Linked DNA regions of Danio rerio. The protein of the gene in region 1 interacts with the protein of each later gene in a biochemical or structural test. Links are inferred from orthologs where the notes say so. Each region holds a gene or a part of one and is shown in the gene's direction. Other genes may lie near its edges.

Region 1 (3,667 bases):
AACCGAGCAAGACATATTTTATTTGCTGTGTTTTTGTTTCATACTCAAGCTGAGCCAAGATGAAGCCACCACTTTCTACGATGAACTGAACCACCACATTTTTGAGTTGGTTTCCAGCTCAGATGTGAATGAGAAAAAAGGCGGTATCCTTGCCATAGGTGAGCATGAAAATCACTTTATATATATATATATATATATATATATATATATATATATATATATATATATATATATATATATATATATATATATATATATATATATATATATATATTTATTTAATTTTTTTAGTTTAACTTTTTTTTTATTGATACATATCAGCAGTGGCGTTTCTAGTTTAAATGGCACCGTGGGCGAACCCCCCCAAATACATTCCATCCCCTTAGTAATAAAGACGCTATGTGGTTTACTTCATATATATTTTATATATATTTATACACATTTAAATATATATATAAAAAAAATTATATATATATATATATATATATATATATATATATATATATATATATTAAATACATTTAAATATATTTCTTTATTTTTAATAAACAACAATTTATTTATATTATTTTAAACAATTACAATTATTATTATTATACAACTATTATTCTAAATAAATAACAAATCAATCCTAAATGTAAATGAAAACAATGTAACTGCAGAGATATGCTAAGATCACTTTTAAATCTTCTGCATGAATATTAAACTTGATAACTATTGAATACAAAAGATATGTTTTATAGCATTATCTGTTGTTTTAGACCCGACTCATGGTCGAGAATGAATGTTATTAAGTGTCATCATCTCTCCTTTCTGCTTCATAGCCATGCTCAAAAAAAGATCATTATCATATAATAACTTATAATAATAGCTTTGTTGACTTGCAAAACTAGCTGCGTGCCGGCACCGCTGTTACTCTGGTTTCACAGCACATGAGCGGCGTGTTTTTTATTGGCGTGCATGTAAACAACTAGGATTCACACCATGAGCAGGAGCAGTGCGTGAGGCACGCGGGAACTGTTTTCTGCATACATACGTCAATTTGTTTTGACCAGCGTTGTTTCAGTTGCAAATAGACAATAATAAACTTGCACGTGCAAAAGATGCAAAATGTGAATAACCCCTAACGTCTTTATTCTGGGATTACCACCCCAAATGAATTCACTTGCATAAAGTAAATTGTATTCTAAAGCTTTACTAGGCCACATTTGATTGAAACTGGGGCACTTTTTTTTGCACCATCTTCATGTGCCACCCCCAGCAAGATGCCGCCCTCGGGGACCGTCCATAATGCCCATGCCTAAATCCGCCACTGCGTATCAGTTACAGTATCAAATATTAACAATAATCAGTAAGACATCAACTGTTCCAATCTATAGTAGAAAACAAAATTAATTCATATTTTCTTTTTCTCTAAACCAAACAGTATATAATTGCACCCAAAAGAATATTTAGGGCAAAACACAAAATGTATAATAATAATAATAATATTAATAAGATAAATAAAGTAACATTATAAATAAAACTAACACATATTCGGCTATACAGCAATACAGAAAAAATATATGTATACAGTTAAAGTCAGAATTATTAGCCCCCCCATTTGAATTTTTTTTCTTTTTTAAATATTTCCCTAATGATGTTTAACAGAGCAAGGAAAGTTTTACAGTAGGTCTGATAATGTTTTTTTCGTCTGGAGAAAGTCTTATTTGTTTTATTTTGGCTAAAATAAAAGCAGTTTTTAATTTTTTTAAACCTATTTTATTTTTTTAAACCTATTTATTATTAGCCTCTTTAAGCTATATTTTCATTTGATAGTCTACAGAACAAGCCATCATTATACAAAAACTTGCCTAATTACCCTAACATGCTTAGTTAACCTAAATAACCTAGTTAATCCTTTAAATGTCCCTTTAAGCTGTACAGAAGTGTCTTAAAAATATCTAGTCAAATATTATTTACTGTCATAATGGAAAAGATAAAATCAATCAGTTTTTAGAGATGAGTTATTAAACTATTATGTTTAGAAATTTGTTGGAAAAATCTGCCCTCCGTTAAACAGAAATCGGGGGGAAAAAACCGGGGGGATAATAATTCAGGGGGGCTAATAATTCTGACTTCAACTGTAAATATTTTGTTATTTATATTGTAATAGAATATGTAAACTGAAGCGGTAATATTACGTGTGACCATTAAATAGCATGGATTGAAATGTGTTTTCTTTAGCTAATGTGTAATATGCATCTATCCAGTGAGCCTGATTGGAGTGGAGGGAGGAAATGCCACCCGTATCAGCCGCTTTGCCAACTATTTGCGGAACCTGCTTCCGTCCAGTGACTCAGTGGTCATGGAGATGGCCTCTAAAGCCATGGGTCACCTGTCCATGGCGGGAGACACCTTCACTGCAGAGTATGTGGAGTTTGAGGTGAAGAGAGCTCTGGAGTGGCTGGGAGCAGACAGGAATGAAGGCAGACGACATGCAGCGGTGCGTAGATCATATTACTATTTAGGATGCTTTCACACCTACACTTTTTTTTCGGAACGTATCTTGTTTGCCCAGTTAGCGCGGTTCGATTGGCATATGTGAACAGGGCAATCGCACTCTGTTCCGCGCCAAAGTAATCGCTCCGAGATCGCTTGAATTAGGTGGTCTCGGCTCGATTGAAACGAACCCTGGAGCGGTTCGATTGCAGTGAGAAAGCGATCCGATCCGAGCGCGGTTATATCACAGTGTTTTGTGCATATGTAATAGGCTTACGGCTATATGAAGAGAGAGTTATGAGTAGGGCAGGAAGTTTCGCGAGTCTTCGGATGCCCGCAAACACAAACGAACTGCTCCAAGAGCAAAGAGCAACAATGTAACAATTGTAATCTCTGTTTCGGAACAACTGAATCGATTCACAGGTGTGAAAGCACCCTTAGTTGACAACTAAATTGCCCGTTATACACTATTATCAACCTTAATACACTTTTTTTTAACCAGTCTCACTGTTATGCTGAGATAAAAACCTTATTATAAAACTTTAATGTCTGAAGACAATTTTCTAACCCATTTTAAGGAGAGACAATGCCATTTTATGAAGTAGAAGTTGAAATTATTCATGACCAGAAGCACAAAACCAGTCATAAATGTCATATTATTATTGTATTATTGTTATTGTAAATAAATTATATAAACATTTGCATATCAGTCAATAATATTACTGAAATTAATATGAATAAAAATTAATCTACACACAATTTAATAAGTAAATAGATAAGACTCAATGATGGGCTAAAAACTCTGCCCACTAATCGCATACAAGAGCTTGTATTTACATAATTTATGTATACTGTGTCTCATATGTAAATATAAATAACAAATAACTTAAATGTGTACACACACATACATTATACGCATTACCTGACAAAAGTCTTGTCATCGATTCCAGTTGTAAGAGCAACAAATAATAACTTGACTTCTGGTTGATCATTTGTAAAAGTATCAGAAGGTAGATTTTTCAGATGAATCATCTATTGAACTGCATCCCAATCATCACAAATACTGCAGAAGACCTATTGAAACCCACACGGACACATGATTCTCACAGAAATCAGTCAAGTTTGGGGATGAAAAAAATCATGGTTTGGGGTTACATTTAGTATGGGGGCATGGGAGAGATCTGCA
Region 2 (3,667 bases), on another chromosome or scaffold:
ATATTTTCATAAGTTTCTATTAACTTGCAAAATTGTTGTTAGATAAACCTATACCTTTAAGCAATTAATCAATTATAATTTAAAAAAATGTGCAAATGAGGGAGAGGATTTAAGACATTTTTGTTTGTGGATAAAGAATTTCGCATAAAATATAAGAAAATATATAAATATATTCTTCATTTTTATTTTTGGGACTAGAATAATAACAATTAATATCTTTCATTTTAAAGATTTGTTTTTTTGATTGTGATTTATTCAAATAATTATGTAAATCTGACCAAAACTTTTGTGAGATTTTAAATGTAAAAAAACACGTGAGTGAAAGTTTCCTCACTTTCCTGACAGAGAGAGCAAGTATCTGCAATATCAGTTAATTCTGAGATAAATGCATTGACTGGGTATATTTTGTGAAGAATTTTAAAATGAATTTTCTTTGCTTTGGGATTACATATTTCTATGGGAGAAGTCATGGCTGAAGTCGTGGCTGTTTATGCCCCATTGACTTCCATTATATTGATATTTTTTTATTCCAAAGTCTTGACACCATATAATCATGCATTTTTGATTGTTGGTGGTTTTCCCTGTTGGGAAGAGGTAAAAATTGTCATTTTCACTGTTGATCATCAGTTGGCAGCATTAAACCTTTAAATAGGCCTGGGCAAAAAAAAGTCTTGCTGTTATATAGAGTTCTATGGAGTAAAACAACAGATTATAGTGTGCGTGTATAAATATACTTACTATGATTACTTTGCCCTGAGAGCAGGGGTGCTTATTTAGATTCTCTCTGACATATCAAGGTAAGTGGGAAGGAAAGGTCTCACAGTAACAGACACACACTATACTCAAGATAAAAGCCAGAAACTTACATTTTTTTGTACTGCAACTGATGATCAACAGCAAAAAATAAAAAATTTGTCTCTTCGCAACAAGGACGCATGCATGATTGTAGGGTGTCATGGCTTTGCAATCAAATAATGTCATTATAATGGAAGTCAACGGGGCAAAAACAACCACTAACATAACGAAAGAGTAGTCAATTTCCCCAGAATGTGTTAACTTTTTGAACATTTTCAAAGCATTTACCCAAAATATGTGTCAAAAATCGTACCATTTGCTGAAACGCAAAGAAACTTGTGGGCAAAGTAGAAGTTAAAATCAGCCCAGAGTAGATGAAAACAATCCTGACAGCACACAAGGGGTAAAAACAAAGTAAACTTTATTGTGAATATTTTAAATATCTCAAGGAGTTGTACAGGGAATACAAACTTAAGTTTACCCCGACTGCATGCTCTTAACATTTAAACCCTTTTACTTTCAGCCCCCGTTCACAGCGGAGAATCGGAAAAAGACCATTGACAAAATCCTGAAGTGCAAACTAAACCTTCCACCGTACCTCACCCAAGAGGCTCGAGACCTCCTCAAAAAGGTAAATCAGTCAATCAGCTTTAGCGAGATATTCAGTCTTATTGCTTAATTAAACTGAGTTTGTGTGTGTGCCTGCTATTTGCATCCAGTTGCTGAAGAGAAATGCATCGGTACGGATTGGAGCAAGTCCTAGAGATGTTCTAGACATCCAGGTATCTGCTTTTCTGATACTTTGAATCTATTAATCATGCATACCTGACATTTACATATATAATGGAGTGTTCTGTATTTTTAAAAGAGCATTTGTTTTTAGCGCCACTCTTTCTTCAGACACATAAACTGGGATGATCTGCTGGCATTCAAAATTGATCCTCCATTCAAACCCTTTTTGGTAGGATCAACTCTCTGCAGATTTCTCTTATTGCTAATAGTCATGTGTTGTGTATGTTGTAATATGTTGTGTTGGATCACATTGCCTCACAGATATATGTTTTTGCAGCAATCCGCAGATGATGTTAGCCAGTTTGACTCAAAGTTCACTAGTCAGACTCCCGTGGACAGCCCTGATGACACGAAGCTCAGTGAAAGCGACAACCAAGTCTTCCTGGTGAGTCTGTGGTACTTTTTAGGCTAAATTTATCTCCGTGTCAACACTATACCTCTGTCGTGTCTCCAGCTGAGTTGCATTTATGTTTGTGCAATCATCAGATCATTTATCTAGAATGGATTTGAGCAGTAGGATGTGTATGTTAGATCAAAGATGTAGTTAAACTGTGATGTTTTCTATTTCTAAACATTTTCAAATTTGATTTATTTCCATGATGATGAATTTGAATATTCTACATAAATTCTCCAGTCTTCAGAGTCACATAATTCTTCATAAATGTTTCTAACGTGCTAATTTGTTTCCCAAGAAATATGGAAAACTTGAAATTTAAATAATTTGTAGCAATTTAATTGTCCTAACCTACTTACTCCCAGGGCCATTTTATATTGAAGTTGATATTTAGCCTCACCATGTTGGTGTTTGGTAGCATCTAGTTTTTATGAAGTGGGTTGTTAGCCCAATGGTCAACCCCCAACCTGGAGGAGCATGGCATACACGCATACACTACATGGGAGACACACTACATACAAACTCCACGCAGAAATGCCAACTGATCCAGCCGGTGCTCGAACCAGCAACCTTCTTGCTGTGAGGTGACAGTGATGTCCACTGCGCCACCGTTTCACCTCAATTTAATTGTCTTTACTTTACGTTATTTTTTTATTTTTTTGAAAATGTAGTTTTTATTGGTTTCCTCTTAATATAACATACAGTACCATACAAAATGCACACAATTTTTTTCACAGTTTAGAAAAATAAACTGTTAAAAAATTAGAAAAAATAATTAGGAAAACAGTAAGAGATGCATAAAGATGATACTAAAGAGCACAACAGGGTAAACACGTTTGTTGTTTAGGTGAAGAAATGAAATTCTCCCATAGATCAACTTTCTTATCAGTGTGTCTTTAAATGTCTTAAATCTCAAAAACAAAATTGTAGGCCTTAAAACATCCTAAACCTACTCACATTATGTGTTGTGGGTCTTAAATCTTTTTTTAACAGGTCTTAATTTTCCTTTGTCCATGTATAGCTACCCAATCAAGGCCATTAACACCCATCCACTCACCAACAATTCATTTCAATAAAACTTTTAACTTTTTGTTTAACTCTATTTACCATGATGGTTGAATTCATTTCCTTTATTTACTGCTGAGGAAGCTGACCTGGACAGATTGTTGTGCATACATAGTTTTTTATAGTTTTTTTAAACCTTCAAAACATTAATATATATATATATATATATTTAAGAAAGGTTATGTTGAAATAATGTGTATGTATACAAATAGAGCTTGCTTGCTTTGACACAATATTTAAAATATTTAACTCAGATTTAACTCAAATATTATTGCATTTATTCAATTAATTAAAAAAAAGTTTGATAGGGCAAATAAACATTTTTTTCCAACTGAGCCATTCGACAAAATCCTTAGCATTTAGCTAATGCTAATGCTAGATAAGTCTAAAATTTAATTCATAATGGTCTTAAAAATGTCTTTAAATGTCTTAAATTTAACCTGTAGAAACCCTACTTATGACTGCCATTCATTTGGGCTAACGACACATTCTCAGTCATTAATTCCATTCATAATTTAAGTAAAGAGCATTGTCTTTCCAAAACCTCAGTATTATACATGCTGCTATAGTTATGCCAACAGTTAAAAGGGAGAACTCGTAACTCAATATGTGGAACTTCAG
Region 3 (2,321 bases), on another chromosome or scaffold:
TAAAGAACTGTTGAATTTAAGTTTCTGTGTAACTGTAATGGGTTATATGCACATGGACTTTTAATTTTAGTCAGCCAGCCTCAGCAATCTTTCCATTTATAAAATTGCCATGTTAAGGTCTGATTTCTTTAAAAAATTAATGATATTCACTGCCTGATAGATATAGGATATAAAGTGGATCTCACACCGGCCAAGAAGAACTGCGTCAAATTCCATTTCCCGCCATCACATCTTAAAAATGTGGCCGTTTATTTTACCCCAGTGTTTCTACTGTCAGAGTTTCTGCGCTCGCCTGCTGATCCTGACTGCTAGTGGTTACTTGGTCTTTAATTTCGATTTCCCTTGAACAACTAAATAAATGAATAAGTCTATTCAACTGAATGTACTTTAACTACATTACAACATGGATGATGTAAAAGAAGCCATATGAAATTGAAAATAGTCACATTAACCTTTTACCCTTGTTTGTAACCCACAATCAATTTGTACATAAACGAAATATGGCAAAGAGAATGGGACAACTGCATAAAAAATAAATTACATGAAATTAACCCGTAAATAAACAAAAGGCATTTAGCAAATTATAGTTTTGAGACCAGACATGATCAAACGGTCTATACCAGATGTCGAATCGGACATTTTAGGTTTGCTGAATAACGAAGAATCACCTAAATGTAATGTACTGCCAGGCTGCTCTTACCATAAAACAGATTTTGTTGGAATGTAGAAGTTTAAAATCCATTTGACAAAATTTTTATAAGGAGGGTATTTTGATGGACATCTTTAAAAAGGTACCACCCGGAAGAGTTTTAAATTATTTATCAAAAATTGAACTGAAATATCATATTTAACTTTGAAAAAGAAATGTGTGCCATTTTATCTATTAATATTTTATATATTTGTCTATGTAACTTTTTTTTTGTAATATGAATTTGTTTTTATCATTTAATATTTTATGTACATCCATTTTGCCACGAAATAGCCATAAGTTGCTGATGTGGCAAGAAATAAATAATATATAAATAAATTAACCTTTCACAGGAAGTTTATCATTGGCTGAAAAACAAAAAACAAAAAAAATCCCTTACTTTTTTTTTTTGAGGATAAGTAATTTAATGAAAGTAACTTATTACAGCCAACCCACCTTCTTATAATACTGTGTGTTGCCATGTTTCCCCAGAATCCCTCACTCTGGACATGGAGTTGAGCTCTGATCATGCGTCACCCATGAGAGAAGGGTTTGCAGCCTCCACAGTCTCGGATATGGACACCTGCCGAAATGCTTAGTTTTCCAAGATTTTAGTTTCATTTTTTTTTTTTTTTTTTTCCATTGGGAAAAGCAATTTTCATGTATATAGTGAGCTTAGGTGCTACAACTGCTTTCTCTCTCCGAGCCAAATTTTGCATTTCTTTTTTTGATTTTACAGTCAGTCAAAAGTGCAAACAAGCTAAAGTTTTCATTTCAACCTCGACAATACTGAAGTTGACTTTAAAATTAAAAAAAAAAAAATAATAATGGTTACACTGTAAAAAATGCTTTTCTTGTTTAAAGTTTTTGTCTTGTTTCTAGTCCAAATATCTACAAAATCTTAAAGGGCACCTATTTTACCCCTTTTACAGGATGTAATAATCTTTTGGTGTCTCTAGAATGTGTCTGTAAAGTTTCAGCTCAAAATACTCATCAGATTATTTATTATAGTAACCAGAATCTGCACATTTCGGTGTCTGAATACAGTGTAGCTGTTTCTGTAGCATGTCTTTAAATGCAAATAATCTACTTCTCCCCACCCACCGTTTCCACATGCGTGTCTGCTTCTATTACACCCCAAGACTAGGGGAAAACAACATGGGCTTAATAAACGGGGGAAAAAGTGTTGTGGGTGGTGGATTTCCCAAACAAAACAAAAAACTTGATGCAAAAGATCCCCCTCGGACATTCAGATGAGAGTGGTTGATAGATTTATTATAGAAAAATAGGCCAAAATAACAAACAAAAGACAAAGTAAATGAACTAAATTACTTATGTATATTTAAAGAAAAATACAAGAAGCTTACCTTCCTCCTTAAATATAAACAGTCAAAAGTAATCAAATAAATAGGCAGGCCACCTCTACAAGCTCAAACTCTCAAAACGTTGCAAGCATGAACAGTTGTACAAGACTAAAGGTTGGTCGTCTGCCGGAGAGGTAGGGAAAATCCAGAAGCTCTCCACTCCCAGCAACCCTTGCACCACAAATGAGCTCCCCGAACCCTTCCGTAAGTTCCTTTTAATAGGCCTCTGCGACCAGCAGTCAATCAGAGCTTGGATCACATTAGAATGG

The links.
Region 2: of the proteins of mtor (region 1) and rps6kb1a, one has a biochemical effect on the other in vitro, tested with the Homo sapiens proteins (18 studies listed by BioGRID and IntAct, with this or other methods). The link is inferred for Danio rerio from reciprocal best matches to the Homo sapiens genes MTOR and RPS6KB1.
Region 3: the proteins of mtor (region 1) and stat3 form a complex in vitro, tested with the Homo sapiens proteins (2 studies listed by BioGRID, with this or other methods). The link is inferred for Danio rerio from reciprocal best matches to the Homo sapiens genes MTOR and STAT3.

The regions. Positions count from the first base shown.
Region 1 is NC_133183.1:56,036,567-56,040,233, reverse strand, and holds part of mtor (serine/threonine-protein kinase mTOR), read left to right. Parts: intron 1-49; coding exon 50-158; intron 159-2,252; coding exon 2,253-2,485; intron 2,486-3,667. UniProt on the Homo sapiens protein: Serine/threonine protein kinase which is a central regulator of cellular metabolism, growth and survival in response to hormones, growth factors, nutrients, energy and stress signals.
Region 2 is NC_133185.1:33,095,844-33,099,510, reverse strand, and holds part of rps6kb1a (ribosomal protein S6 kinase beta-1), read left to right. Parts: intron 1-1,318; coding exon 1,319-1,426; intron 1,427-1,514; coding exon 1,515-1,577; intron 1,578-1,678; coding exon 1,679-1,756; intron 1,757-1,864; coding exon 1,865-1,972; intron 1,973-3,667. UniProt on the Homo sapiens protein: Serine/threonine-protein kinase that acts downstream of mTOR signaling in response to growth factors and nutrients to promote cell proliferation, cell growth and cell cycle progression.
Region 3 is NC_133178.1:15,780,322-15,782,642, forward strand, and holds the end of stat3 (signal transducer and activator of transcription 3), read left to right. Parts: intron 1-1,180; coding exon 1,181-1,287; 3' UTR 1,288-1,727; downstream 1,728-2,321. UniProt on the Homo sapiens protein: Signal transducer and transcription activator that mediates cellular responses to interleukins, KITLG/SCF, LEP and other growth factors. Once activated, recruits coactivators, such as NCOA1 or MED1, to the promoter region of the target gene.